Linked DNA regions of Neodiprion lecontei. The main gene of each other region encodes a partner of the protein of the gene in region 3 in a complex. Links are inferred from orthologs where the notes say so. Each region holds a gene or a part of one and is shown on either strand. Other genes may lie near its edges.

What was found. Proteins that work in one complex are often made in the same cells at the same time.
Region 1: pre-mRNA-processing factor 6 (region 3) and probable small nuclear ribonucleoprotein G share a complex: the UniProt entries of both Homo sapiens proteins name them as parts of the U4/U6-U5 tri-snRNP complex. The link is inferred for Neodiprion lecontei from reciprocal best matches to the Homo sapiens genes PRPF6 and SNRPG.
Region 2: pre-mRNA-processing factor 6 (region 3) and putative U5 small nuclear ribonucleoprotein 200 kDa helicase share a complex: the UniProt entries of both Homo sapiens proteins name them as parts of the U4/U6-U5 tri-snRNP complex. The link is inferred for Neodiprion lecontei from reciprocal best matches to the Homo sapiens genes PRPF6 and SNRNP200.

Annotation. Positions count from the first base shown.
Region 1 is NC_060262.1:2,038,610-2,045,838, reverse strand, and holds probable small nuclear ribonucleoprotein G, read left to right. Parts: upstream 1-2,441; 5' UTR 2,442-2,642; coding exon 2,643-2,674; intron 2,675-2,824; coding exon 2,825-2,847; intron 2,848-3,053; coding exon 3,054-3,178; intron 3,179-3,280; coding exon 3,281-3,331; 3' UTR 3,332-3,403; downstream 3,404-7,229. Other genes in the region: transcription initiation factor TFIID subunit 8, read right to left, coding at 841-998, 1,073-1,219, 1,323-1,473, 1,548-1,834, 1,926-2,055; zinc finger protein 60, read right to left, coding at 4,597-4,862, 5,037-7,229. UniProt on the Homo sapiens protein: Plays a role in pre-mRNA splicing as a core component of the spliceosomal U1, U2, U4 and U5 small nuclear ribonucleoproteins (snRNPs), the building blocks of the spliceosome.
Region 2 is NC_060265.1:26,203,375-26,212,107, forward strand, and holds the start of putative U5 small nuclear ribonucleoprotein 200 kDa helicase, read left to right. Parts: upstream 1-2,407; 5' UTR 2,408-2,657; coding exon 2,658-2,702; intron 2,703-2,951; coding exon 2,952-3,115; intron 3,116-3,251; coding exon 3,252-3,771; intron 3,772-3,966; coding exon 3,967-4,213; intron 4,214-4,360; coding exon 4,361-4,691; intron 4,692-4,788; coding exon 4,789-8,733. Other genes in the region: uncharacterized protein LOC107219073, read right to left, coding at 200-332, 405-590, 834-1,141, 1,329-1,389, 1,485-1,597. UniProt on the Homo sapiens protein: Catalyzes the ATP-dependent unwinding of U4/U6 RNA duplices, an essential step in the assembly of a catalytically active spliceosome. Plays a role in pre-mRNA splicing as a core component of precatalytic, catalytic and postcatalytic spliceosomal complexes.
Region 3 is NC_060260.1:29,831,767-29,843,874, forward strand, and holds pre-mRNA-processing factor 6, read left to right. Parts: upstream 1-4,245; 5' UTR 4,246-4,297; coding exon 4,298-4,392; intron 4,393-4,505; coding exon 4,506-4,565; intron 4,566-4,659; coding exon 4,660-4,786; intron 4,787-5,052; coding exon 5,053-5,603; intron 5,604-5,675; coding exon 5,676-6,456; intron 6,457-6,685; coding exon 6,686-6,901; intron 6,902-7,012; coding exon 7,013-7,354; intron 7,355-7,484; coding exon 7,485-7,828; intron 7,829-7,941; coding exon 7,942-8,221; 3' UTR 8,222-8,365; downstream 8,366-12,108. Other genes in the region: sarcoplasmic calcium-binding protein 1, read right to left, coding at 76-179, 496-625, 1,709-1,884, 2,002-2,053; serine/threonine-protein kinase mTOR, read left to right, coding at 8,924-12,108. UniProt on the Homo sapiens protein: Involved in pre-mRNA splicing as component of the U4/U6-U5 tri-snRNP complex, one of the building blocks of the spliceosome.

The DNA.
Region 1 (7,229 bases), on a different chromosome or scaffold from region 3:
AGAGCAAAATAAATGGAAATTAGAAATTAGAAACAGGGTATTACAGTAAACTTTACGAATCAATGCCTGGTCTATCATTTTATAGGAGTCTAGACGAATCCAATCATGTTTGTTACATAGAATATAAGTGAAAGTAAATATTTTATAATCGATCTTCATCCATTGAACAAAGAACGCATAGTTCATATTTCACAAAGGCTTGTTAAAAAATTTTTTGCATATTTGATATACTAAATTGCAGTTATCAAATCGTCGCACTGTCATGGCATTAATATTTTTTCACAGAATCAATGAAGGTCTCATGTCATTATTATCTATAATAAAAGCAATTAGTTAGGCTTCCAATTAAGCTATGAATAGCTTCGCAATGTAGGGTGCATATGTAATCGGTAATCGTTATATGTACGTCTATGCGATATTGTATAATCTATTTTTATAATGTCTCGTGCAATACCTAGGGTCCCTTTAAATAGTTGTGATGTTTATCAATCCTTAAACGCTGCCTTCTTATTGTATGTATATCGGTGCTAGTGAGCTGTGCAATTTTATGGATATCTACAGATATATTAATATTGTACTCAACATAAATCAGTAGACCTTTATATTAAAAAATGACTCACAGCAAATTTACACAATTTATGATAACAATAATAACAACTTGAGTAACTAAAGTCGGATTGTTATTTTTTTTAAAATATATTTATTAATTTTATGATAACTTAATTTACTATATATAAATATACAATATCTTCCTCTGTGCATCAGTAATAATAAAGTAATTGTCAGTTAGTAAGTTCCGTGCTTAAAAACCAAATATCAAAATAATACCTAAATCTTTAGTCATACGTCTGTCGCTTCTCTCTTTCCAGGACCAGTCGGATTCGTACCAGTTATTTTATTCTTTGGCAGTTTGCCTGGCCTCAAATAAGGATTGTCTATCACATCTTGTTGGGCTAATGCCTCTCCACTTTGCTCTGTCCCATCTGCTTGTGCTTGGGCTGAAAATTGAAACATCATCAGTACAAGATTCACCATTTTTCTGACTCATTGTCTCTATAGATTATGAACAAACCTTCTTCTTTGTCTTCTACAGGCGGTGCCTTCTTCTTTTTTTGAACCGGACTCGGTTCAAACTGGAACTCTTGATCAGGCTCAAAAACTTGATCCTGTGGTAGAAGTGCTGACAAATAGCTGGGAAATTGTGGCTTGCATGCTATCACTTGAGAGAAGTTGAGAAAATCCATTAATAAATAAAACAATAATTTTAGAATATAAGATATTACTTTTGAAAATTTCCAAACTCAATTAATTCTACCACTTACAGGGAAACATGGTGTTGTCTTCGGTCAAGAACAGACTATGCGTGTCCCCTGTTTTGGCAATAAATCTTGTCAAGGCTCGTTCAATGTCCCGTTTTTGCGATGCAGCCTTTTCCCTGATAGCTTCATATTCCGTCACAGGTTGTTTATGTGTCTGAACACCATTTGTCGATAGTTACACTAATGTGCTACCAAAATGATGAGTAGTTGATGGAAGTTATGACTCACCGGCGTCCTGATGTAGGCGTGAGGATCAGGAAATGGTGGCAGATGATTAGGTATGTGCGACGGATGATTTTGCTTTACTCCAGCTTGTAAAATATTGAGCTGTTTGGCCTGTATCTGTTGTTGAAGTTGGGGCAGAACAGTCCTGTTTAGACGTTTACCATACGTCTCCATCCCTTCTAATTTGATTCCCATGTTAATTAGGGCCAGAATAACATCGGCTATCAGAGGCTCGGTCCGCCCAGACAGCTCGCAGTAATTTTTCGCCGAATCTCCGACCTCGACGATAACTACAATGTTCATAATTACGGGTAAGCATTCTTTTTTAGTTTATAGGGTAAACTCGTTTAACAGCGTTCAAGAAGTCTTAAATTCACTTACAAGCCTGCAACATTTCGGTGAGGGTTTCCAGCGCCTGTCTTTCACACGTTTCGAAACCATTTTCGACCAAAATACTGCAAACTACATGATTTAACACTTTTCTTCTCGTGTTTACTGTTTGGGTCTCCATTTTTAATACAACTGGCTATTACTGTTTGGTCTTGTTTCCATCGAAGGGTTGGAGTCGGGTTAGGTTCAAATTATGAGCCAATGAGAAACGAGGTTTCAGGAGAAATTACTTTCTTCCTCTCAAATCTCGTTTCTCGTTTGGCTGTAATTTTAACCTAACCTGACTCTGACCTTACCACAAATGGTATTACATGCTTCGTGGACCTTACGATGGAAGCATCCTATAGTGTAAGAAAATAAAGCGTGTTCCACCGGTGGACGCTATTTCGTCCCGTTCTGCGCCGACCATAGAAGCCTTCTTGAAATTATATGACGTATCTTATAAGTACAGTGGAGATTCCTACTTGTTAAATTGTACGCTATATAGATGGTATTGAATGGGATCAATTGAAAATCCAAGATGGCCTTCATACGGTTGGTTCTTAATACGACTTGTTCGTGGAGATGGCTGCGCAGTAACACACCTTAGATGTTCAAATTTGTAAAAGCGTCTCACGTCGCTTTACGTTGTTCGTAATCTCATCGTTGGACAGTGTGAGCATCAAACTGCCCCGATTTTTCAATTAAAATTCAACACATCTATTAAAAATGAGCAAAGCACATCCCCCAGAATTGAAAAAGTAAGTGATAAACTTGCGTGTCAAACCGACGCCGAATAACCGCAGTTCTTTGCCAAGAATTTTTAGGTTACGTTGCTAAATTTAAGGTTAGACTTCACCTACCGGTACATTTATTGCCCATATATACTAATTTTTCATTATATTTTTCAGATACATGGACAAAAAGTTATCCCGTAAGTTCAGAGGATTAAATTAGTATCAAATAATATTGACTTGGTTTGGGATATTCATTTATTTTTTCAACGTTCATTGAACCTAGCTTTGGAAGGTTATAAATATTTGATATTGCCAAATATCATGTTGCGCACGAAACCCTCTTCTAGAAAATTGAGAGGAATGGTATTTGATGTATTTTATTAACGATACTTTCAATTGGCAGTAAAACTGAATGGCGGGAGACACGTGATTGGCATCCTGCGAGGATTTGATCCGTTCATGAACATGGTCATTGACGAAACAGTCGAAGAATGCAAAGACGGAACGAAGAATAACATTGGAATGGTGGTAAGAATTTAAAAAATCTAAAGCAATTGCTTGAGGAAAGATGCAAATCATTTTTTATATCCGCACGAAGTATTGACGACAATATCATTTTTGTTATTTCAGGTCATTCGAGGAAACAGTGTCATAATGCTAGAGGCGTTGGATAGAATATAATTATTAAAAAGAATCGGATGGAAGAATGTATTTAAGAGAAAAAGAAAGAATAAAAACATTTTGTATTTGTAACGCCGTATTTAACATTTAATTTTTCACTTATTTTACAGTGTACACATAGTTGTAAATGATTGAATGATAAGTTAGGAGTGACAATAATTTTGGAGAAAAATCATGAAGACTAAAAGAATTCAAACGTTTATGTTCAAATACAAGTATAAAATAAAACAAAAAAAACAGGATTCCAAGCAGCACAATTTTCTCACATTTCTTAGCTCGGAACAACGAGAAAGTGAACATTCAATACAGCTAAGCTGATTATTAAATATATTGTGCACAAAATATAATCTGGAAAAAAATGGTGCAATGGCATATAATTAATTATGGTAGGCATTTCGCTGTTACATGTATAACTGGATTTTATAAAAATACGAAAATATCGTACAAGGGGTTAGTTTGCCAATTTGAGATTCGTACTGCACAGTACAGAGACATACTGGATTAAATCAATTATTCTTATAATGAGTTATTCAGGTGAAGTGAATAAAAAAAAAATTATACAAATTCTATTTTAAAAATGTCAAAATACATTTGCTATGTTCATAAAATCAATCTTTTTACTGATGTTTTTATTAGACTGAATAATTCCGATTTAATGAAACCGTTTTGGAACTAAAATTTTAATAATACTATCTGCGATGAGCTGAGGATTTTTGCTGTCGTAAGTGCTCATCAGTCTTCGAAGCAGGAACAAAGGTCTGACTTACAAGAATAATAATAGGTATAATCATAAAAATAAATGCGTGCATACTTTATACATTGTATATAAAATAAAGAAGCAAATATAGCTTCCTTTGTCAGAAATACCATAAAATCTTACCCTCACATAGTTTTTAATTAAAATTTGACAATAGTGTGCAGAATACTCGGTAAATACCTTAATTTTTTTTCCTCTTATCTTAAAATTTTACATTTGCAATTATATGAATTCGTTTGAGGATATCCTTGTTTAAGATAATATAGAATCATTCTACACACACCTTATTACTTTCGTAATGTGCGGTAAGCAGTCAAAAAAAAAAAGAAAGGGGAGTACAAAGAAAAGTTTCAATGCAATGCAGAAAATTATATTAGCTAAAGTAATAACTTAGTGTATAATGGCCTACTTATTAGCAACGAAATATAACGAGAGAACTACAGAAAACATACAAATCAATAATGATTTTTTTTCATAAGAATCCAGTGTACCCCTCATCCTTCTGAATTCAGCAAATGTGGTTATCAAGTGTTCTTTTGTTTGAAAATTGTCGGTTACACTTACGGCACTTAATTAATTCAACACAATTATTGTGCATGTGCAATCTGTACTCGCGATTAGTGTGAAATTTCTTGCCGCATCTAACGCACGTTATGAAATTTTGCGGACTCAGATTCATGTGAATACGGAGTTTTCCATCATTTTTAAATACTTTCAGGCAGATCTCACACTGGAATGGTCTCAGCGGTCCAGTTGTTGAATTTTTCAGGCAAGCTGCAGGAGGGCAAATTATCGTTAGATCATTGCTGTTCAAATTCACTCAACTGCTTTTTTCTATAATCAAACAAAGGTACGATTTTTTGAGTTTTTTTTTAAATTTTCTTTTTAAATTTTCTTCTATACATTTAAACTCTGTATTCTACACAATTCACTCGTTATGATACTTACACGACTGTTTGCAGGAACTTTTGCCACAGCTATTGCCATGTTTATCATAATCAGTCTGGCTGTGAAACAAGCTCTTGCATGCGAGGCATTCCACAGTTTCTTTGGGTTCATTAGCTACATGATCATCAAGCAGTGTGGAGCTATCGAAATTTTCTTTGCAAATGGTACATTGAAAATTAGAGTTCGATCTCCTAGTGCTCCTCCTGACAACGATAGGCTTAGTTTCAGTTTCCTTCAAATTGCATACATTCTGGTTTCCCTCTGCATTGTGCACACCGTTTCCTTTAGACTTCGTATGGGCAGGTTTATTTGCAATCTGTTTTTTCCTCTTGTTTGAATCTGAACCATTACGACTACTCTGAAACTTCGTAGTTTCATTCACAGCTGCTGCCTCCTCTATGAGCTCCTCTTTAATTCTCATCAGGATTCCATTTGCCATTGACTCACAATCTGACACCTCAATTTCGGACGATTCATTTCCATTCACTGCCTGTTCCTGTCCTTGCAGAATTTCATGCAATGCTTCTTTTTCCGTCATCTGATGACACGACACCAAGTGTGCCTGAAGATCTGCCTTTACAAGATGAATATGGCAGTATGGGCAGTCCGTAGAGTTGTGTCGCTTTCGTTGATGCGTTTTAAGGTCAGTGCTCGATCTGTAAGACAGATCACACTCTGTACAGTGGAAGGGTCTTTCACCGGTGTGGGACCGAATGTGAATCTCAAGTGCCGATTTGCATATAGATATCTGTCCACAAATCTCGCATCTGCATTCGCCATCATTGTGCTCATTGAGCATATGTTTTTTCATATCGTATCTATTGCTAAATGGTTTTTCACACGTTTTGCAAGTGAATAACATTTCTCCCGTGTGCCCAGCTACGTGCATTTTGAAATACCAATCTGTGCTGAAACCCTTGAAACAATAAGGACATTTGAAAACCTTTGAATTTTTCTCCTCAGATTTCCTACGAGCTTGAGATTTCCTTCTTGTGTTCGTCGCACTTTTTGCTGTCTGTGAATTCTGCTGCTCTACATTCTCTGTTTCATTATTTTGTGCAACAGACCTTGGCGGGCTAGGAGCTATCGGAGCTGGCTGAATGGCCTGCAGTTTTGAGACAGGTACAGGTTTGGGAAGATTGTCCGGTACCAAGCAAAACGCAGGAATACCGTGAGTTTGATGCCGAAGCGAAGGGGCTGACTTCAGGCTGGTGATAGGGACGACTCTGATGGGGGTCAGGTAAGGTTTGAGAGCTGTATTTTGGCTCGAGGTTACGATATTTGCCTGAGAAGCGAACCAATCATTGAGAGACATCGGCTGAACGATGTTGGATTGCGTGACCGAGGAAACTTTAATGTACTGTTGACCAAGCCTTGCGTGTTGAGGTGGAGTGCAAAACACATTTGTTATCTTGGGTTGCTTCACGGCGGGTCCTTCGTTGGTCTCAGAACCCGGTCTTTTGCCGACGATTGTATTCTGTGGTGGGAAAACAATCGGAATAGAGGGCAAAAGTTTTCCAAAGACTTCTCGGGAGTTAGTACTTTGTACAACGCTCGGCTGGTTGCCCGGGGACAGTGTTTTTATTGTGACAATTGGCTGATGCTGGGGAATGGTTTTTGGGATGATGATCAGCTCCTTGTTATTCCTCAGGGACTCCATAGTCTTTTTGTACTCAGTGGCCGGGTCCAAGTGTTCTTTTTTCTTGGTCTTGGCTGCCTCGATCATCTGCAGTTCTCGCTCCCTCATTTTTTCCCTAAGTATCTGAGCACCGTCTGTTTGATTGTGCCTATAGACCTCCTTCCTGATGCAGCTTTTGTGACTCATCCTAGACCTCCGTGTCTTGAATACAACGCCGCAAATGTCGCAAGCACTCATCAAATCGCAACGGTAGAGTTTAATCAACGCTCGTCGACATCGGTCATGATCTATGCTCAATGCATCGCACAGCGGATTTTTGCAATGCTTTTCAACCGGGGCATTGATCTCGTTCTCCTCTATCCCCACAGCTAGCATTGGTAGAACTCCACCCTGGTCAACGTACTGTAGCACGGAAACGTCGCAAACGATATTTTCGCATGGGCCGTGATGACCACATTGTTTTTGCTCAGGCTTGACGACCATCAGGGCTATTTCAGACTTTCCATCCCCCTTAGCAGGTAGCAGCCTAGATTTATCTTTGCTTTCCGTTTCCA
Region 2 (8,733 bases), on a different chromosome or scaffold from region 3:
ATGTAATTTGTTATTTTATTGACAGGTGAGGCTAAACAAGCTACACTATTCAAAAAGTAAAATTTTGCGATGAAAAGGTAGAGATAATGCATCGCAATTGAATCGTAAGCGATATTTCCTGTAATTCTCTCATATGCTAGACAGTACCCTTTTTGATAAGTCAGAATCGAATATTGAATATAGGTAAATATGAACTTACGGCTTCTCTTTTTTCGTAAACAGCTCTTATATGCTGGTGCACATTAGGATATCGTGGTGGCAGTTCATACCTGGTGTAGCCACGCCCCATGGTAACATATCTGGTCCCATCAGTGGATACTTTCAGCCGATCTCTGAGAAAGGTTGAAAAGTATTGATGACAGCAAAACTTTAGTGTAAAAAATAAAGAGCGCAACAAACCTTACCTAGTCCACAAATTATTTGTATGTAAAAAAGGTTCTGCATTTTCATATGGATTATAATAAGCTGGATCATTGGGAACTGGATATAAACAATCATCCTCCTCATAGTACACAGGATCAGAAACAGGATCACTAACAGCCCTGTGCACCAATGCAGCCAAATTCTTACCACGACCCATATTACAGGTACTGCAACGCAGTTATTAAAATCAAAATTTTAGTTTTGTTACACAGTTTTACTAACAGATTTGGCTATGTGAGATAAATTTTTCGAGTCAACAGTATTGAGGGATAAATTGTTCATTTCGATGAAAAGTTATCCATAACTATACCTATGCTCTACCCATTGAGAGTAATATACACAAGTTATAAATCATTTGTAGAAGTTTTTAACTGTCTTTCGATTAGATTATGTATCCTTAGATAACTCACGGCGGTGCAGCATGTCGTGGAATCTGTTCAGGACTGAGGTACTCCCTCGGCTGGTTCTCTGGATTGCACGTAAAAGGTACTGGTTTGGATTCTATTGTCCGGCGAGGGCCCATATTTCGATCGAGTCGTTCCTCACGTTTCTTTGCAAATGTTACGCGAAGTTCCAAAGGTTTGACGCCATGGACCTCTCTGATGGCCTTTTCTGCCTCACGGAAACTCGTATAGCTCACAAACGCCCAGCCAGCATTCGGAGGGGATATAACACTGGACGGTGTGCCGTAATTCGCGAAAAGATGGGATACACCATCCTAAACAATTGGTTATTACGTAACGCTATGACAATTTCACTCGTTTCGGCAATTCGTATTTACGTGTTAGTCAAAATGGGGTATTAATCCAAAAATTGTAAACGAATGGATACTTTGTCATGAAGAATGTAACATGCAGTTGAATGGAGTTGTGAAAAGAACATTGCACATGTTGAACTTTGCATACCTGGTCTAGCTCTGCTGGGATATTCGACACGTAGAGTTTATACTCCGTTTCCGGTCCTCCCCTGTAATTATAAGATGACATGACATGCGAATTGCTGCAGTATTAAGCCGGGATCACGACATGGATGTAATATTGCAAGTGGTTTAAATTTCAAACCTAGCATAAGGCGTCAGATTCATTCCAGGTCCGTGCTCGTACGAATTGACGTTGGCGTCGCGGTAATGAGCAGCCATCGGATCCCAATTGTCTAAATTATTAGCCCGTGCCATTGCGTCTTGACGGTCAACCGTCCTCGAAATCTGAAAGGACGCTAGCAATCTTATCGCTCAGTTAGTTACGTTAATCGGGTAGGTATATACTGTTGACCACGCACTTTCTTTGCTTGTCACGTCACAATTACGCAGGCTTCCGAATAAGCACGTGGTATCGCTATTCACTTCTATTTACACGGTGTTTTCTTTTATTCTGCACTCTTTTAGCTGGACCGTTAAAAGTATGAAAACGAGTCGAATAGGGCAGAGGATTCAAGAAATAGCGGCACGTGGTACGCTCGGAGAAGTGCGTCTAATATGCTAAGTGCAAAAAGCCGACCGCATGCATGAAATTCTCTCTGCGCATGTGCACCATTTTGAATTTACAAGCTTTATTGTGTCGGACAAGTTACATCCAAGTAGAACTAATCGAAATATGCGCTTACCTTCTAGCTCAACTTGAATCGTAATTTCGGTTTCGTCTACGCTGATTATAAATGTCTTCGAATTTATTTACTTGGTATATTTTGAATCTTAATGTGCACGAGAAAATGGAACGAAACTTTCTTGGATCGTTGACTAGAGTTTCGGTATTCTAGAAACGCAAATCCGCACACTGCAGTCTACGCCTCGACTGTTAGGTTTTCACGGGCAGGAAAATGCTGCCGCCAGCCGCAGTATTTTGTTGCCTAGTTCTTGACCAATAGGAATGCCAAGAAAATAGATAATTCGTCTTTCGCGTGCACAGGTAGCGCTAGAGTCCGTAAGACCGTGGTAGGGACTCTCGGTAACGCTCGCCTGCTTTATTGACATTTCTATTGGTCAAAAATTCGGCAGCAAAATACTGCGGTGGCAAATCTGTGCCAGTGAAATTCCAGCCACTGGCCTCCTGACTTCTCGTTGATGACAGCACCGTACAGTAAATTCATTTATGCCTTCCTTTTCCGACTACCTTGTTTCGGTCCAATACCAAATGCGTCACCTAGGTATATAGACTGGATAGTTGACGCTTGGATCTGTACGTTACTGAAGTCTGACTGAGGTATAGAGATCAGTGTGTATATTCGACGCCGTAAACATGGCGGATGCTGCGGCTCGGCAGCTTCAATACGAATATAAAGCGGTAATTATTACTATTTCATTACAAGAAATGTGCTAAAGTACGACTGTAATACAAAGAAAAAATTTTGTGCAACACTTATTGTTCCAGCGTCTAAGTTACGATTAAAATTTGAGAACTCTGCTTTCGTACGAAAAACGTTCCGTCGTATAGGTTATATTTCTAGTTGTATTAATTGGTTGCCAAAACATAACTTACTTGTTGTACGTGTTTTGGAAAAACACTTTGGTGATTTAAGACTTTTTGTTCCAGAACTCCAATCTTGTCTTACAAGCTGACGTACGGCTTATAGAAAGACGTAGCAGAGATGAGGCGACTGGAGAAGTTATGTCCCTTGTGGGCAAATTGGATGGAACCAGGATGGGCGATAGACATCAAAGGACGAAACCAGGCAAAGCAGAAGAGCGTAAAGTGAAGTGAGTGAAGATGTAAATTTGCATAGCACTATTCTCACATTCAGTAGCAAAGCAAATTACTAAAATGCATTAGGTATTAAAATGAAAAATTTAAATTGAATCATTAACGACTGTAATACGGTACAACTTTTCTCAGACGTCAAAAACGTGATGAAGCGCAATATGACTTCACTCGTATGAAGGGTGCCACTCTCTTGTCAGAGGGTGTTGATGAAATGGTAGGAATTGTATACAGACCCAAAACACAAGAGACTCGTCAGACGTACGAAGTGTTACTGAGTTTCATTCAGGAAGCATTGGGCGATCAACCACGTGATATTCTCTGTGGTGCTGCTGACGAAGTATTAGCTGTGTTGAAAAATGATAGATTAAAAGAAAAGGAGAAGAAAAAAGAAACAGAGTTGCTGCTTGGTGGTTTAGCAGAAGAGAGATTCGCCCTCTTGGTTAATCTGGGGAAAAAAATCACGGATTTTGGCAGTGATGAAAAGACTACAACAAATGAAGAGAACATTGATGAGACATATGGTATAAATGTTCAGTTCGAAGAAAGCAGCGAAGAGGATGATGAAGATGTGTACGGAGAGGTTAGGGAAAATGACGATGAAGGGGATGAAGGAGAAGAAGCAAACATTGATCGTGCAATTCACGCGGAAAACGTATGTATCTAGTCAGTTTAGTTGAAATATTCATCAAGTCTGAAGTTTTTTAGTCATATAAACTTTTAACAATTCTATGTAATTGCATTTTTATTCAACTCTTTTCTATTCATATGTACAATTTTAATATCAGATATTACAGTATAGTATCTTAATTTTTTACATTCAGTAACTGTTTCTTTACCCTTCAAACAGCTTGGTGGTGCGGAGGAAATGAAGAAGGAAAAACCACTTCATCCGTTAGATATCGATGCTTATTGGCTTCAGCGGAGATTGAGCAGAATATACGATGATGCAATGGTATCCCAAGCAAGAGCTGCTGAGGTATTAGCAGTGTTACGAGATGCGGGTGATGATCGAGATTGTGAAAATCAGCTGGTTCTCCTGTTAGGATATGATTGCTTTGATTTTATCAAACAGCTTAAAAAATATAGACACATGAGTGAGTATCAAGCAACACTCACCTTTATAATTACAGAGCTAATATTTATGAATCATTAAATAGTTGAAACAGAAAGATTACAATTTGAACATTCATTAAAATTTATCTAGTTTTTTGGAAGTTTAAATATTCTGACTATTCTTACAGTTGCCTATTGCACGATGTTGGCATCGTCTCAATCCGAATCGGAGAGACAAAAGATAAGAAATAAAATGAATGATGATTTGTCTCTGGCAAAGATCTTGCGTCAGCTAGACACGGGAAAGGGTGATGATGATGCTGAAGAAACAATGGAAGCACGTGCACAACGCAAGCGGCTGGAGGAGAACGAGGATGGAGCTGGTGGTCCTGGTGGTCAAGTTCAAGGATCGAGAAATCTGATTGATTTAGAGGATTTGATATTTGCTCAGGGAAGTCACTTTATGGCCAACAAACGTTGTCAGCTACCAGATGGAAGTTTCAGAAAACAAAGAAAAGGGTAATATATTTTTTATTTTAATGATGAACAAATTTTTGGTAGAAAATCGCTACTATTTGAAACTGAACAAGCTAACACTTCAAATCTCTCATCTCAGGTACGAAGAGGTCCATGTCCCAGCACTGAAACCAAAGCCATTCGGGGAGAATGAGAAACTGCACCAAGTTGATCAGCTTCCGAAATACGTACAGCCGGCGTTCGAGGGTTTCAAAACGTTGAACAGAATTCAGAGTCGGCTTCAAAATTCGGCGTTGGAAAGCGATGAGAATCTGTTGTTATGTGCGCCAACTGGAGCAGGTAAGACAAACGTCGCCCTGCTCTGTATGATGCGAGAAATCGGAAAACACATAAACGCCGACGGAACGATAAACGCTGACGAATTTAAGATAATATACGTTGCGCCAATGCGGTCGCTTGTACAAGAAATGGTAGGAAACTTTGGAAAGCGTTTGGCAAGTTACAATTTGATCGTGTCTGAACTCACGGGTGACCATCAGCTGACAAGAGAACAAATCGCGGCAACACAAGTAATAGTTTGCACACCTGAGAAATGGGATATAATAACTCGTAAAGGAGGCGAAAAAACTTTCACGTCTCTTGTCAGATTGGTGATTATCGACGAGATTCATTTACTCCACGATGAGCGAGGCCCAGTTCTCGAAGCGCTGGTTGCCAGAACCATAAGAAACATTGAAACAACCCAGGAAGATGTGCGGCTAGTCGGTTTATCGGCTACCCTTCCAAACTACCGAGATGTAGCTGCGTTTTTGCGGATAAAACCAGAAACCGGATTGTTTTACTTTGACAACAGCTACAGGCCAGTTGCTCTGGAGCAGCAGTATATTGGTGTGACTGAGAAAAAGGCACTGAAGAGATTCCAGGTGATGAACGAGATTGTGTACGAAAAAACGATGGAACATGCAGGAAGAAATCAAGTCCTAGTATTTGTTCACTCCAGAAAAGAAACTGGGAAAACTGCCAGGGCCATCAGAGACATGTGTCTTGAGAAAGACACGCTTGGTCAGTTCTTGCGTGAAGGATCTGCGTCGATGGAAGTACTCAGGACTGAAGCTGAGCAGGTTAAGAATCAGGAACTGAAAGACTTGCTTCCGTATGGTTTCGCTATTCACCACGCCGGAATGACCAGGGTCGATCGTACCTTGGTCGAGGATTTGTTCGCCGATCGACACATTCAAGTTTTAGTATCTACCGCAACTTTGGCATGGGGAGTCAACTTGCCAGCTCACACAGTAATTATCAAAGGCACGCAGGTTTACAACCCAGAGAAAGGTCGCTGGGTGGAATTGGGCGCGCTTGATGTCCTGCAGATGTTGGGGCGAGCTGGTCGTCCACAATATGATACTAAAGGTGAGGGAATACTGATAACGAACCATAGCGAGCTCCAATATTATCTCTCGCTTTTGAATCAGCAACTCCCTATTGAATCTCAGCTTATAAGCAAGATGTCAGACATGCTGAACGCGGAGATTGTGCTTGGAACAATTCAAAATATACGAGATGCTGTTACATGGCTCGGATACACTTATCTCTACATCAGGATGTTGCGGTGCCCACAACTCTACGCCATACCTCATGATAAACTTAAGGAAGACCCGTTGCTAGAGCTACACAGAGCGGATTTAATACATTCAGCTGCTCTGGGATTAGACAGAAGTGGATTGATTAAGTATGATAGAAAATCTGGACATTTTCAGGCGACCGAATTAGGTAGAATCGCGTCCCACTATTATTGTACGCACGATACCATGTCCACTTACAATCAACTCCTCAAGCGTACTTTGAGCGAGATTGAACTGTTCAGAGTGTTCTCATTATCAAGCGAATTCAAGAATATCAACGTCAGGGAAGAAGAAAAATTAGAGTTACAGAAACTGATGGAAAGAGTACCCATACCTATAAAGGAGAGTATTGAAGAGCCGAGCGCCAAGGTCAACGTTCTTCTTCAGGCTTACATATCTCAATTGAAGCTTGAGGGTTTCGCACTAATGTCTGACATGGTATACGTTACGCAGTCAGCATCCAGACTGATGAGAGCTATTTTTGAGATTGTCTTGTTCCGAGGCTGGGCTCAGCTAGCGGACAAATGTCTATCCCTCTGTAAAATGATCGATCGAAGGATGTGGCAGTCAATGTCGCCGCTTAGACAGTTCAGAAAAATGCCCGAGGAAATAGTGAAGAAGATTGAGAAGAAAAACTTCCCGTGGGAGAGGCTTTACGACCTTGGACCAAACGAAATCGGGGAACTGATCCGTGTTCCTAAACTTGGTAAAACAATTCACAAATATATTCACCAGTTTCCTAAACTGGAACTGTCAACCCACATACAGCCCATCACTAGATCCACCCTACGCGTTGAGTTGACGATAACACCGGACTTTCAATGGGATGAAAAGATCCATGGTGCCTCAGAGGCCTTCTGGATTCTTGTGGAAGACGTTGATTCGGAAGTCATACTTCACCACGAGTACTTCCTTCTCAAAGCCAAATACGCCAGCGACGAGCACCTGATCAAGTTCTTTGTTCCGGTATTCGAGCCTCTTCCTCCTCAATATTTCCTTCGGGTCGTATCGGACAGATGGATCGGTGCGGAAACTCAATTGCCGGTCAGCTTCCGTCACCTTATTCTACCGGAGAAAAATCTACCGCCTACCGAGCTCTTGGACTTACAACCGCTGCCGATAACCGCGTTGAGGAATTCCAAGTTCGAAACTGTCTACACCGACAAATTTCCCCAGTTCAATCCCATCCAGACGCAAGTATTCAACGCGGTCTACAATTCCGACGACAACGTCTTCATCGGCGCACCTACTGGCTCTGGCAAAACTACAATCGCCGAATTCGCCGTGCTGCGTTTGCTGACTCAGAATCCCGAGGGAAGGTGCGTTTACATGGTGAGCAAAGAGGCACTAGCGGAGCTTGTGTACAGCGATTGGGTAGCTAAGTTCAATCAACAGCTCGGAAGGAAGGTGGTTTTATTGACGGGAGAAACTGGCACGGACTTGAAACTCCTCGCAAAAGGTCAGGTGATAATAACGACTGCTGACAAGTGGGACGTCCTGTCAAGAAGGTGGAAGCAGAGGAAGAACGTTCAGAACATCCAGCTGTTTATCGTCGACGAGCTCCAGCTCATCGGTGGCGAAGAGGGGCCGGTTCTTGAGGTGGCCTGTTCGAGGGCGAGGTACATATCTTCACAGCTTGAAAAACCTACAAGGATAGTAGCTCTTTCAGCCTCTTTGGCCGACGCCAAAGACGCCTCGCAGTGGCTGGGCGCCCCGGCGGCCGCAACGTTCAACTTCCATCCATCGGTGAGACCGATACCCCTGGAACTCCATGTCCAAGGATTGAACATCACACACAACGCCTCCCGCCTTGCGGCGATGGCGAAGCCAGTTTACAACGCGATCCTGAGACACGCACCCCACAAACCTGCGATCGTTTTTGTACCAACGAGGAGACAGGCCAGAATGACCGCAATTGATCTGCTCACGTTCACCGCAGCGGAGGGACAACCGTCGAGGTTCTTCCACGCGGAGGAAGCGGACATAAAACCGTTTTTGGATAGAATGAGCGATAAGACACTGAAGGAGACCCTGTCGCAGGGTGTTGCTTATCTACACGAAGGACTCTCGATCGATGACCGACATTTGGTCGAGCAGCTCTTCGACAGCGGAGCGATCCAGGTCGCTGTCGCGACACGGGACCTCTGCTGGGGACTGTCGATAAATTCTCATCTCGTTATAATCATGGACACCCAGAGTTACAACGGCAAGACTCATGCCTACGAGGACTATCCGATCACCGATGTTCTGCAAATGGTCGCCCGCGCCAACAGACCGCTCGAAGACCACGACGCCAAATGCGTCCTCCTCTGCCAGAGTTCAAAGAAGGATTTCTTCAAAAAATTCTTGAACGAGCCACTTCCCGTCGAGAGTCATCTCGATCACAGGCTCCACGATCATTTCAACGCCGAGATAGTGACCAAAACTATAGAAAACAAGCAGGACGCAGTCGATTACTTGAC
Region 3 (12,108 bases):
AGAATAAACTTGCTCTGAGATTACTTATTCAAATCAATTATATTTTCGATAAAATATGAATAAAAAATTCCATACGTTAAGTAGACTTTGATAAGCATCGTCAAGAGCGTCGATGTTGTCAACTGGAATTCTCATAACACAATTATAACGAAATTCGTCGGCAGCGATAACTCCGTCGTCTGAAAGAAGAAGAAGAACATTCATTCTCATTTTTAGACTTGTACGTGTACAGAATCGATGTAATAAGTGAAAAATAAAATACATCAAGAAGGCGTGACGCGCAGTTCTCGGGTGTCGAATCTATTGCTAGTAGTTTCCTACGAAGCCTACTATCTCACTTATTTTTAGTTACTGCAGTTTATAATATATTCGTGAGTCAGCTCGTACTGTGAACGAACCGGTAAAAATGTTTTCACTCCCAAACCTGAGATATAATAAATTATTCAATACATCGGGAGGTGAAACCCTCATTTTTGCATATTGCCCTACTCTTACCGTTTAAATCGACCAGCTTGAAATGACTGTCTATGAACATTTTCATCGCTTGAGGGAAATCACGATAAGGTCTTCCCATGCAGCTTCTTTGGACCGCGACTTTGAATTCTTCTGTCGTTACTACTCCATCCTGATGAAATTAAAAATTAAAACAGTAACACATTCTCACTGCATTTATATTGACTACTGTCTGCTTTCAGGATAAATGGCTTTCTAAATTTGACCTGATGGATCAGGATTCACTAGGCTCGTGTGTAAACGGCATTGTGCCAAGAAAACATCGATGGAAAAAATAAATAACTTCTAAACATATTCGATTTTTCAATTATGTCATATTGTTTTCAATTATATACTTATGTCTGTGTATAAATTCACCGGTAGATAAATATGCAATTTAAAACCCCTTACTTGTATTTGTACAGGTATAAATATTCCAACAAAATTACCATTTTTGTCCATCAAACAAAATTCATGACTATTGACAAATATAGTAAGAACATCCATATGCTAAGAACATTCATAGAAATTCACACTTGGGCTACGTGTACATATGAGGGAATATCACTGGTAAATTATTAAATTGGATAATTTATAGAAATCATAAGAAATATGGATTCCGAACGAAACTGTATAGTTTTAACCGGAGTCATCGTAACGACCATAGTCGTGAAAATTTTGCTATCTCCCCTCTGAATTAGAAATCTGTTACCACTCGTGTGTATACAAAATTTTTCTTATCAACCGGATTTCATGCTGGTGGAAAGGGCTCTAGTTTCACCAGACAAACGACAATTGAATATTTTCACACGTAATCGATTAATATTAAGTTAGATTTACGTGAATTGACAGAGTTAAAGTGATGAATATTTGTGAAATACATACAAGAATTACCGAATTTATTTTGGAAAATAGATTTCTGAATTTTATCGCTCGAGACAGTGGTTCGTTAATTTTCAAAGTTATTACTACAGTTTGAGAGCAATCGAGTGATCATGATTTTACAGATTGGAATAAAATTTCTTGCAAATTTATATTGTTCTCCGTATCGTAAGAATTACGAACAGGTATAGTTATCAAAAACTTACTACAGGTGACACATGGATATAAAAATTTTATGTTACCATTATACGTATATGATAGTTACAACTTACGTTACCAATTACAGAACGACAGAAAGACAGCAACGTGCTTAAAATTCATGTCGATGACTTACAAATTCTACCTTATTGAAATCCGCAAGTTCAGCGATTTCTTCCCACAGCGAAAGCATGACGTGAAGATTTTCTTGATAGTGATTATAGTTGAAATCACCTTTACCCTCGACAAGGGTCATTTTTAGAGCCATACACTCGAAATCATGCTGATCCAGCACCCCGTTGTTATCTATGTCTGATTGCGGAATAAATCTTGTTAAATACGACATGTTAATACTCTTCCTCAATTCCGTAGTACGGAAATGTACGGCTACGATTATTGTTTCTCGTGTAATGTAAAAATTGTACTAACCGTAAAGGAACTTTACTATGAAGCTGACTCGATTATCCCAACTGTATGCCATATTTTATTCGATAATGAAACGCTGTAATTTTTCTCAAAGAATGCGACTAGTTATTCAACAAACAAATATATATTACAAATTCAATGCCGTTACTATTTGTACAAACCCGTGAATTTTCGAATCCAAAATATCTTTCGGGAATTAAGGTACAAATCTGCGAGCAACGTTCGTCACACCGAATTCATGAATACTGAACACAATCTGAGACCGCAGCTGGATGGTCTAAGTTTAGATATGCTTGAATATCGGTAGCGGTACTTGAAATTGGCGACGAGGGATACTGTGAGGAAAAGTTAGACGTATCCTCTGCACAGGTGGTGGATGATGGGTGGAATCGTAGCCGTTTTGTCTGGTTGTAAATTACCGATTACGTTCAACTTGTAGTTATGCGGTTGAGATCGGCTGTAAAGGCTTTTCGCGCCGCGCCGGTTGTCTGATTAATGTTTCTTCTAACATTTATATCAAATGCGAACGAGACGTCTTAACAAGACCCAAAGACGCACGTATATGTCTGTCCGCACCGCGGTTCCGGGTTAATTTATACATACCTACATTCGTACGAATTACCGTCACATTTGAACGGTACAGGCAATTGCATATGCGGAAAATTATAGGGGTTTCATGCAGTGCGTGACATAACGCGTGTAAGTGTAGGTATGTGTGGAAACATGTACGACATGCGCGTAACAGTTTTGTGATAACGCCGCAACGATAGTACGGTTTTATAGATGGTTGCTAAAGCGAAGAACGAGTTGATTGATCGATTCGATAATTTAGTTCACTAATTCGTGTCCGCGTACCAATTGACTAATTGCCTGCTACCGGTCATCGCGAAGGCGTTACACTGTTACACACCAAACTGTCTGTGGCCGGCTTTAAATAAACTTATTCTACATTCTATGTATATACTCTCGGCTTAATAAGCCGGTCGCCCATGCACGATGTATACAGCTATTGTTAGGCGTATCTAACAATAAGTATATGAGCATATTACCACAACTATACCCGTGTAAGCCAAAACAAGTTGACCGGTTCAATGATGTTTAAATATGTTTGATTGAAACAGATTGCAATAAGAGTCGAATTCAATGTAAAGGCAGGCAATAATAAGATGGGAAAGAGGCTTCAATCGGTCACTATATTATGTGGCTGCCGATCGAACTATTATTTATTCAGTCGCTCACAATCAGATGCGATGTTAAAATAATTGCAATAATGCTAAACTGTTTGATATTTGCAAATCTGTAAGTTTCGTACAATACGGTCGTTCCGACAATCCTGAAAATAGGCCGAATGTTGAGCGAGCTTTACTTAATTCACATGGCGTTGATTCGATTGAAATATTGCGCTTTACAGTAGATGTACCCGTAGCCTGGATTGTCTTAAACTAATCACTCATGGAATTGAATATTTCCATACCGCTCGAACGATGCGGGACATGAAATACTCTTCCGTCAATTTGATTTTTGATTTAACTTACACCTAGTTTTAAATTATAAATAGACCGACACATTTGCCATCCTGTATACAAAACATAAAGAAGAAAGTGGTCTCGACAGTAAGCTGGCTGAAGTGTTCTAGATCTGTCGGTTTACGTCACATTTCAAGCCTGAAGTACTGCTCTGTGATTTCTAACATCGGTTCTAGGAAATTTAACTGAAAAATGACACGTCTGAATAGTTCTCAGTACCAGGGATATATCAGATTATTTTACCAAGGGGAATCGAGACTCCTAAACAAAAAACCTCGTGGCCAATTATCATGCGTGCCAAAATCTAATTAACAATATTAATTTTACGTACGGATAATGATAATTGAGAGCAAATTCGCTAAGAAGCTATCGACAACAGCCGTATTTAAATAAAATTGATCGCGAGACCTCTGTATGTTAATACTGAATTTCATACATGTAAAAATTTGATATATGTATCAGAATGTAAGAATACAATTTACTTTTAATATGGCGTGAATTAGCGATGGTACCTGTGAATCCCTTAATTAAGGCCAAGAAAAATACACAGTATAGTTTCAACAATTGTTAATAAAAATTGAAAGTTAATTGTTGGGAATAAAAATTGTAAGTATAGCACCGAATTTTTCCGAGGGATTTGCTGTATCTCGTGATGGAATTGGCAAAACCAGCCTGTGTCGGGTAAAGCTGAAGATTCAAAAGTAATCCATTATTTCAGTGTTTACCGCTTGGCGTCGTGTCGTCACGCAGCGATAGTGTAGAATGTAATAAACATGGCGGTGCCATCAGCTTCGCTTTCAACGCGAAATAAAAAGCATTTTCTAGGGGTTCCAGCACCCTTGGGCTATGTCGCTGGTGTCGGAAGAGGGTAATTTCGATTAATACATTTTTTAATTCATAAATATTACCTTACCGGCGAGGAGAAATTGACGTCTACGATTTAGCGACGTTTTTAACCTCGCTTTTTATTTGTGTTTACAGTGCGACAGGTTTCACGACTCGTTCTGATATCGGTCCAGCTCGCGATGCCAACGATGTTTCGTAAGATTTCTCACTTTAATTGCTAATTAATTTCTGCTGATTGACATCATGTTTTAACTTCAACTCATTATTGTAATTTGTAAAAATTTTACAGTGACGATCGACACGCTCCACCTACCAAAAGAGCTAAGAAAAAGGAAGAAGAAGAAGAGGATGAAGAAGATCTCAACGATTCCAATTATGACGAATTCTCCGGGTATGGAGGGTCGCTGTTTAGCAAGGTACGGTATTGTCTGACGAGCAAAGCGCTGAAGATTCAAGTTTACCTCCTATAGTATTAGCAATTCAGTATTACTGCGAATAGATTTAATTCATATTTGTATTTCAATTTGCAGCATAAGTTCATATTACCCTAAGTAAATTGCATTTTTCTTTATATGCTAATCTACACTTGAAATATAGACCCTTTTGCCAGTTATTTTCCTAATCTGGGCACAATAGAATAACTTTATTACTTTGAACCTCAGGTGATTTCTTTTCTATCCAGGATCCTTATGACAAAGATGATGAAGAAGCAGATGCAATTTATGAAGCGATTGATAAACGCATGGATGAAAAGCGGAAAGAATATCGTGAAAAGCGCCTAAGAGAAGAACTTGAACGTTATCGCCAAGAACGGCCTAAAATCCAGCAACAGTTTTCAGATCTGAAGCGTGAACTGGTTAATGTGTCTGAGGATGAATGGAAAAATGTTCCCGAAGTTGGCGATGCGCGTAATAGAAAACAGCGGAATCCACGAGCTGAAAAGTTTACGCCTTTGCCAGATTCTGTTTTAGCAAGAAACTTGGGCGGAGACACTTCTACTAGTATAGACCCATCTAATGGACTGGCTTCCATGATGCCTGGCCTAGCCACACCTGGTATGTTGACCCCAACCGGTGACTTGGATTTGCGAAAAATTGGACAAGCTAGAAACACGCTTATGAATGTGAAACTGAATCAAGTATCAGATTCTGTTGAGGGTCAAACAGTTGTTGATCCCAAAGGTTACTTAACGGATCTACAAAGTATGATTCCTACTTACGGTGGCGACATCAAGTAAGTCTCATAAAAAATTTTTTCACCAGTTTATCCATTTAATTTACAATACAATATTGAAATTTTTTTCAGTGATATAAAAAAGGCCAGATTGCTTTTGAAATCCGTTCGTGAAACAAATCCTAATCATCCCCCGGCTTGGATAGCATCTGCCCGCTTAGAGGAAGTTACGGGTAAGGTTCAAGCAGCAAGAAATCTTATCATGAAGGGCTGTGAGGTGAATCCAACTTCTGAAGACTTGTGGTTAGAAGCGGCGAGGCTTCAACCTCCGGAGACGGCAAAGGCCGTAATTGCCCAGTCTGTACGTCACATTCCAACATCTGTTAGAATCTGGATCAAAGCAGCTGACTTGGAAACGGAAGTTAAGGCAAAGAGACGTGTTTATCGAAAAGCCTTAGAGCATATTCCGAACTCAGTACGGTTGTGGAAAGTAGCTGTTGAGTTGGAAGAACCAGAAGATGCAAGAATTTTATTGAGTCGAGCAGTTGAGTGTTGTCCAACAAGTGTCGATTTGTGGCTCGCCTTGGCCCGATTGGAAACTTACGATAACGCGAGAAAAGTTCTTAATAAAGCTAGAGAAAATATTCCAACGGATAGACAGATTTGGACGACTGCTGCTAAACTAGAAGAAGCTAATGGCAATAAGCATATGGTAGAAAAGATCATTGACAGAGCAATTAGTTCCTTGAACGTTAACGGAGTTGAAATTAACAGAGAACACTGGTTCAAAGAAGCTATGGAAGCTGAAAAAGCTGGTGCTGTCCATTGTTGTCAAGTCATTGTCAAGTCCATCATCGGGTTTGGAGTTGAGGAAGAAGATAGGAAACACACTTGGATGGAAGATGCAGAAACAGTAAGTACAGTTTATTATCTACCATTAAATATGAAAAATCCTTTGGATCAGGTGACATATTTGGTTCTGAGTAATCGATTTTCACACAGTTGAAATAAATTGTGGCAGTGGTTTTTTAGTTTTAACAAATTTTACTGAAAAGCTACTAAATAACTTTGCTTCGGAACTATTTTTAATAAATCTATACAAGTACAGTCAATTTGAACAATATAAATGCAATTATTTGCAGTGTGCACAACAAGGTGCTTTGGAATGTGCTAGAGCAGTGTATGCTTATGCTTTAGCAACTTTTCCCAGCAAAAAATCGATCTGGCTGCGTGCAGCATATTTTGAAAAGAGTTACGGAACACGGGAGTCCTTGGAAGCGCTACTCCAACGGGCTGTGGCTCATTGTCCTAAGAGCGAAGTTCTGTGGCTCATGGGTGCCAAGTCTAAATGGCTTGCTGTAAGTAATCGGTGTTATACTTCATCCTCTTACTTCAATTAAGTTTGTTACACGTATTCAGTATCAATAACGTGTAACTGTTGAAATATATATGATTATTTCTATATCAAGGGTGACGTGCCAGCGGCAAGAGGTATTTTGTCATTGGCTTTCCAAGCCAATCCAAATTCTGAAGAGATTTGGTTAGCTGCAGTCAAGCTTGAGTCAGAGAACTCCGAATATGAACGTGCCAGAAGATTGTTGGCAAAAGCTAGAGCATCAGCGCCAACTCCTAGAGTTATGATGAAAAGTGCCAAGCTTGAATGGGCTCTTAATAATCTAGAAGCTGCACTGCATCTCCTCCAGGAAGCTATAGAAACTTTTGAGGATTTTCCCAAGCTTTGGTTAATGAAGGCTCAAATAGAAGAGCAACAAGGGAATCTTGACAAAGCTCTGGAAACATATAATCAAGCTGTGAGTAAATCGTTTTTGTTATTCTTCCAGCGTGATAGTTTGAAGAGTTCGAAATGTGTAATTTTGAAACAGATCATTTCTTATATAAAATCGATTGAAGTATGTGAGAATTTACCTGGTTGTTTTGCAGATCAAAAAATGCCCCACTTCTGTGCCATTGTGGTGTTTGTTAGCTCAACTTGAACAGCGTAAAGGTCAAGTGACAAAGGCTCGTTCTGTACTTGAAAAAGCACGGCTTCGTAATCCGAAAAATGCGGAGCTTTGGCTAGAAGCTATTCGAAATGAATTGAAAGGTGGAGGGGTGCGAGACATGGCTAATACGTTGATGGCTAAAGCTCTGCAAGAATGTCCTACGTCTGGTCTGCTATGGGCTGAAGCAATCTTTATGGAAGCACGACCACAACGGAAAACGAAGAGCGTTGATGCGTTGAAAAAATGTGAACATGATCCCCATGTTCTACTGGCAGTCTCCAAGTACGTAGGAAACCCAGATTACGCAAGTTCAGCGAGATATTTCACGTTTATTCAATTTCTCCTAGTTTGGGGAGCTGTTTGTCGTTATTAATTATACATCGTATCTGTTGCAGGCTTTTTTGGTGTGAGCATAAAATATCCAAGTGCAGAGATTGGTTTAATCGCACCGTTAAGATAGATCCTGATTTAGGGGATGCTTGGGCGTATTTTTATAAATTTGAGCTTTTAAATGGCACTGAGGAACAGCAAGAGGAAGTCAAAAAGCGATGTGTAGCCGCAGAACCGCATCATGGTGAAAATTGGTGCAGAGTATCTAAAAACATTGTAAATTGGTGTTTAAATACTGACCAAATATTGACCGTAGTTTCTAAAGACTTACCGATTCCTATCTAAAACCGAGTGTCAAAATTGAAAATAATACCGTATTTATAAATATAGATTACTGTAAATGTATTATACATATATTATGTTTAGGATGGTAATATTAAACGACATTAAGTACGAATTGTTTACGTACCTTCTTGATTTAAATATCATACATAAAATGCAGCAAAAATTGAAAATTGAGCTGAAATTTGACAGCATCAAATCTCAAAATCTTGTCTATGCACAAGTTAAAATTCACCAATAGAAGCTGGGCCACATATCAGATTCTAGCTTAGCGAATAAGTTCACTAAATCTATTATAGAGCCACCATGAATAATGGGAGCTGCCTTACGTATTTACTTTATATCACTTTATATTTACTAAAAATGGCGCTTGTGGCTGATAGCGTGATTGCGCCGCGAATTAAAAATACGTGTTAACCAAATAGATGATTGAATAACGTGAGTAGAAAATTTAGGTGTCGTCGCAACGTTACATCTAACGTTATTCTCATTTATTATCTCGTAAATTCTTTACGTTTCACACTACGCGTATCATCACGGCAACTGTGATTCGAACCTAACCTATACATACTGACCAGTTTTTTAACTGTTTCAGGTGGACATCGGGCAATGTAGTATCCCGATGTAAAGATTTAAAAAACAAGTGTCACATCTCGTAATTGAACGTTTTTGTCAAAAAGTGAAAACTAATATATATTTTAAAACATGACGCATTCGCAAGTGCTGGATTTCGTTCAGCGACTTAAATCGCGGCACGAAGATGTTAGGATTAAGGCGGCACATGATTTATCTCTTTACGTCAGAACAGAGCTACGTGAAGTCTCCCAGGAGGAGATGACAAATTTTATGGACGAATTCAATCACCACATAAAAGAAATGGTCTCTGGTTCTGACATGAATGAGAAGAAGGGAGGTATACTAGCCATAGTTTGTCTAATCGGTGCTGATGGTGGTAATATAAACACTCGTACTATAAGATTTGCAAATTATCTAAGAAATCTATTGCCGTCGAACGATGTTGGAGTTATGGAATTGGCTGCAAAAACTGTTGGGAAACTCGCACTTGTCTCTGGCACCTACACAGCAGAGTATGTCGAGTTTGAAGTGAAACGTGCTTTTGAGTGGCTTGGCGGAGACAGGCATGAGGGGAAACGACATGCAGCTGTCCTTGTACTGAGAGAATTAGCCGTCTCGATGCCGACGTATTTTTTTCAACAAGTATCTCCGTTTTTTGATCTCATATTCAACGCGATACGTGATCCCAAACCGCTGATACGAGAAGCTGCTACCGAAGCTCTCAGAGCTGCTCTGGTTGTCACCGCTCAAAGAGAAACTACAAAGCAAATGCATAAACCGCAATGGTACAAAGAATGCTTTCACGAAGTTGTACAATGCTTCAATGATGCTGATGTTAAGGGGCGAGGGTCCAACAAGGATGCCGCTATTCACGGATCTTTATTAGTTTTGAACGAGTTATTGAGATGCAGTAACGCTCAGTGGGAAAGAAACTATGAGGCGTTGATGGAGAGACTTAATTGCTCTACTCAACAGATGGATGATGATATTCTGTCTCTCATTCCTCGTCTCAAAACTCCGATTGTACCAAATTGGACAGGCCCAGTTCCAAGTCGATCCAATACTCTGCAGACAATTCATCCGGTTCATGAATCTGCCGCTTGTCGCAGTCTATTACAGGAGGGCTTGGATAATATTTACGCAGATGTTATGAACCAAAAACTATCAAGAAATCCTCATATACAACACGCGCTGATGACGCTATTACCACGGCTGGTTGCTTTCAATAAAGAAAAATTTGACAAGCATCACTTGGCACAAAGTATATCGTATCTTTTGATCACTTTAAGAAGCCGCGAAAAAGATAGACATGCAGCATTTACAACTATTGGATTAATTGCTGTTGCAGTTGAGACTGGCATAGAACCTTATCTTCCGGAAATTATGGAAGTGATTAAAGCTTCTTTACCTTCAAAAGAAACGCCGAGTAAGAAACGAGGTACCACACTTGAACCGGCTGTATTTATCTGCATTACTTTGCTAGGGCATGCTGTTAAGCAAACTATAGGGCCAGATATAAAGGTTCTCTTAGAGCCAATGCTTGCCACTGGTCTGAGTCCAATTCTTACAACATCATTGCGCGAATTAGCTCATAGTATACCATCTTTGAAGCCAGATGTTTCTCAAGGATTATTGAGAATGCTGTCACAAGTACTGATGCACAAACCACTGCGACATCCCGGTGCTCCGTGGTCAGCTACAAGTCCAATTTCAGCTCCAACTGCAGAAGCTGACCTTCCTTCGACGGTGCTTGCGCTGAAAACACTTGGTACGTTTAATTTTGATGGAAATCCTTTACTCCAGTTTGTTCGGAGATGCGCTGACCATTTCTTGACATCTGAACAGTCTCAGGTCCGTTTGGAAGCTGTGAAAACATGTTCCAGGCTTTTGAGGCTAGCATTGAATCAACCAGGGCCAACGGTTACCAATACAGTTTCTACAGTGCTAGGAAAATTACTAGTCGTCGGCATCACAGACACTGATCCAGATGTGCGATTATGTGTCCTCGCGTCGCTTGATAAAAGTTTTGACATTCATCTTGCTCAAGCAGAAAGTTTGTCAGCCTTATTTATTGCGATGAATGATGAAATTTTTGAAATCAGAGAACTCGCCATCTACACAATTGGGAGATTGAGTACTATGAATCCAGCCTACGTTATGCCTTCACTTCGGAAAACGCTGATCCAATTTCTAACAGAGCTTGAACATTCTGGTATGGGACGTAACAAAGAACAGGCTTCGCGGATGCTCGATTATTTAGTAATTAGTGCTCCACGACTCATTCGACCTTACATGGAACCTATTTTGAAAGTTCTCATTCCGAAGATGAAAGAACCTGAGCCTAACCCTGGTGTTGTCTTGGCTGTACTTAAAGCGATTGGTGATTTAGCAAGTGTTAATGGTGCAGAAATGCAACAATGGATGCCGGAATTATTGTCAATACTACTGGAAATGTTGGTCGATGCCAGTTCTCCAGACAAAAGAGGTGTCGCCTTGTGGGTTCTTGGCCAGCTGGTTGGAAGTACAGGACATGTAGTCAAGCCATACACACAATATCCTTTTTTACTCGATGTTCTTATTAATTTTCTAAAAACTGAGCAATCACCAGTTACCAGGAGAGAAACAATCAGAGTACTCGGACTCCTAGGTGCCTTGGATCCCTACAAGCACAAAATGAACCTTGGTCAAATAGATTCACAGTTTGATTCACTAATGTCCATGGCTGATATTAGGTGTAAAAGTGATGCCGAAACAAGTCAAGATCAGTCGACTAGCGAGATGCTTGTAAATATGTCGACTTCAACTCTGGAGGAATATTATCCAGCTATTGCGATCGCTACTCTCATGCGCATCATTCGGGAACCCACCTTATCTCAGCATCATACCATGGTTGTGCAAGCAGTAACATTCATTTTTAAAAGCCTTGGTATAAAATGCGTACCATATATTTCTCAAGTTATGCCTAGCTTTTTGAACGTTGTTCGCACTGCTGATATTGGATTTCGAGAATACTTGTTTCAACAGTTGGCTGTTCTTATTGCGATTGTTAAACAACACATTCGGAATTATTTGGATGACATTTTCGCTTTGATTAAAGAAGTGTGGACTGTGAATAGTCCGTTACAGAGTACGCTTATTCTTCTTGTGGAGCACATCGCTGTTGCTCTGGGTGCTGAATTCAAAATTTATTTACCACAATTGATGCCGCAAATCTTGAGAGTACTGACACATGATACCAGTAAGGATCGTGCGGTGACTGTCAAGCTGCTTCTTGCTTTGCAGAAATTTGGAAACAATCTTGATAATTATCTGCA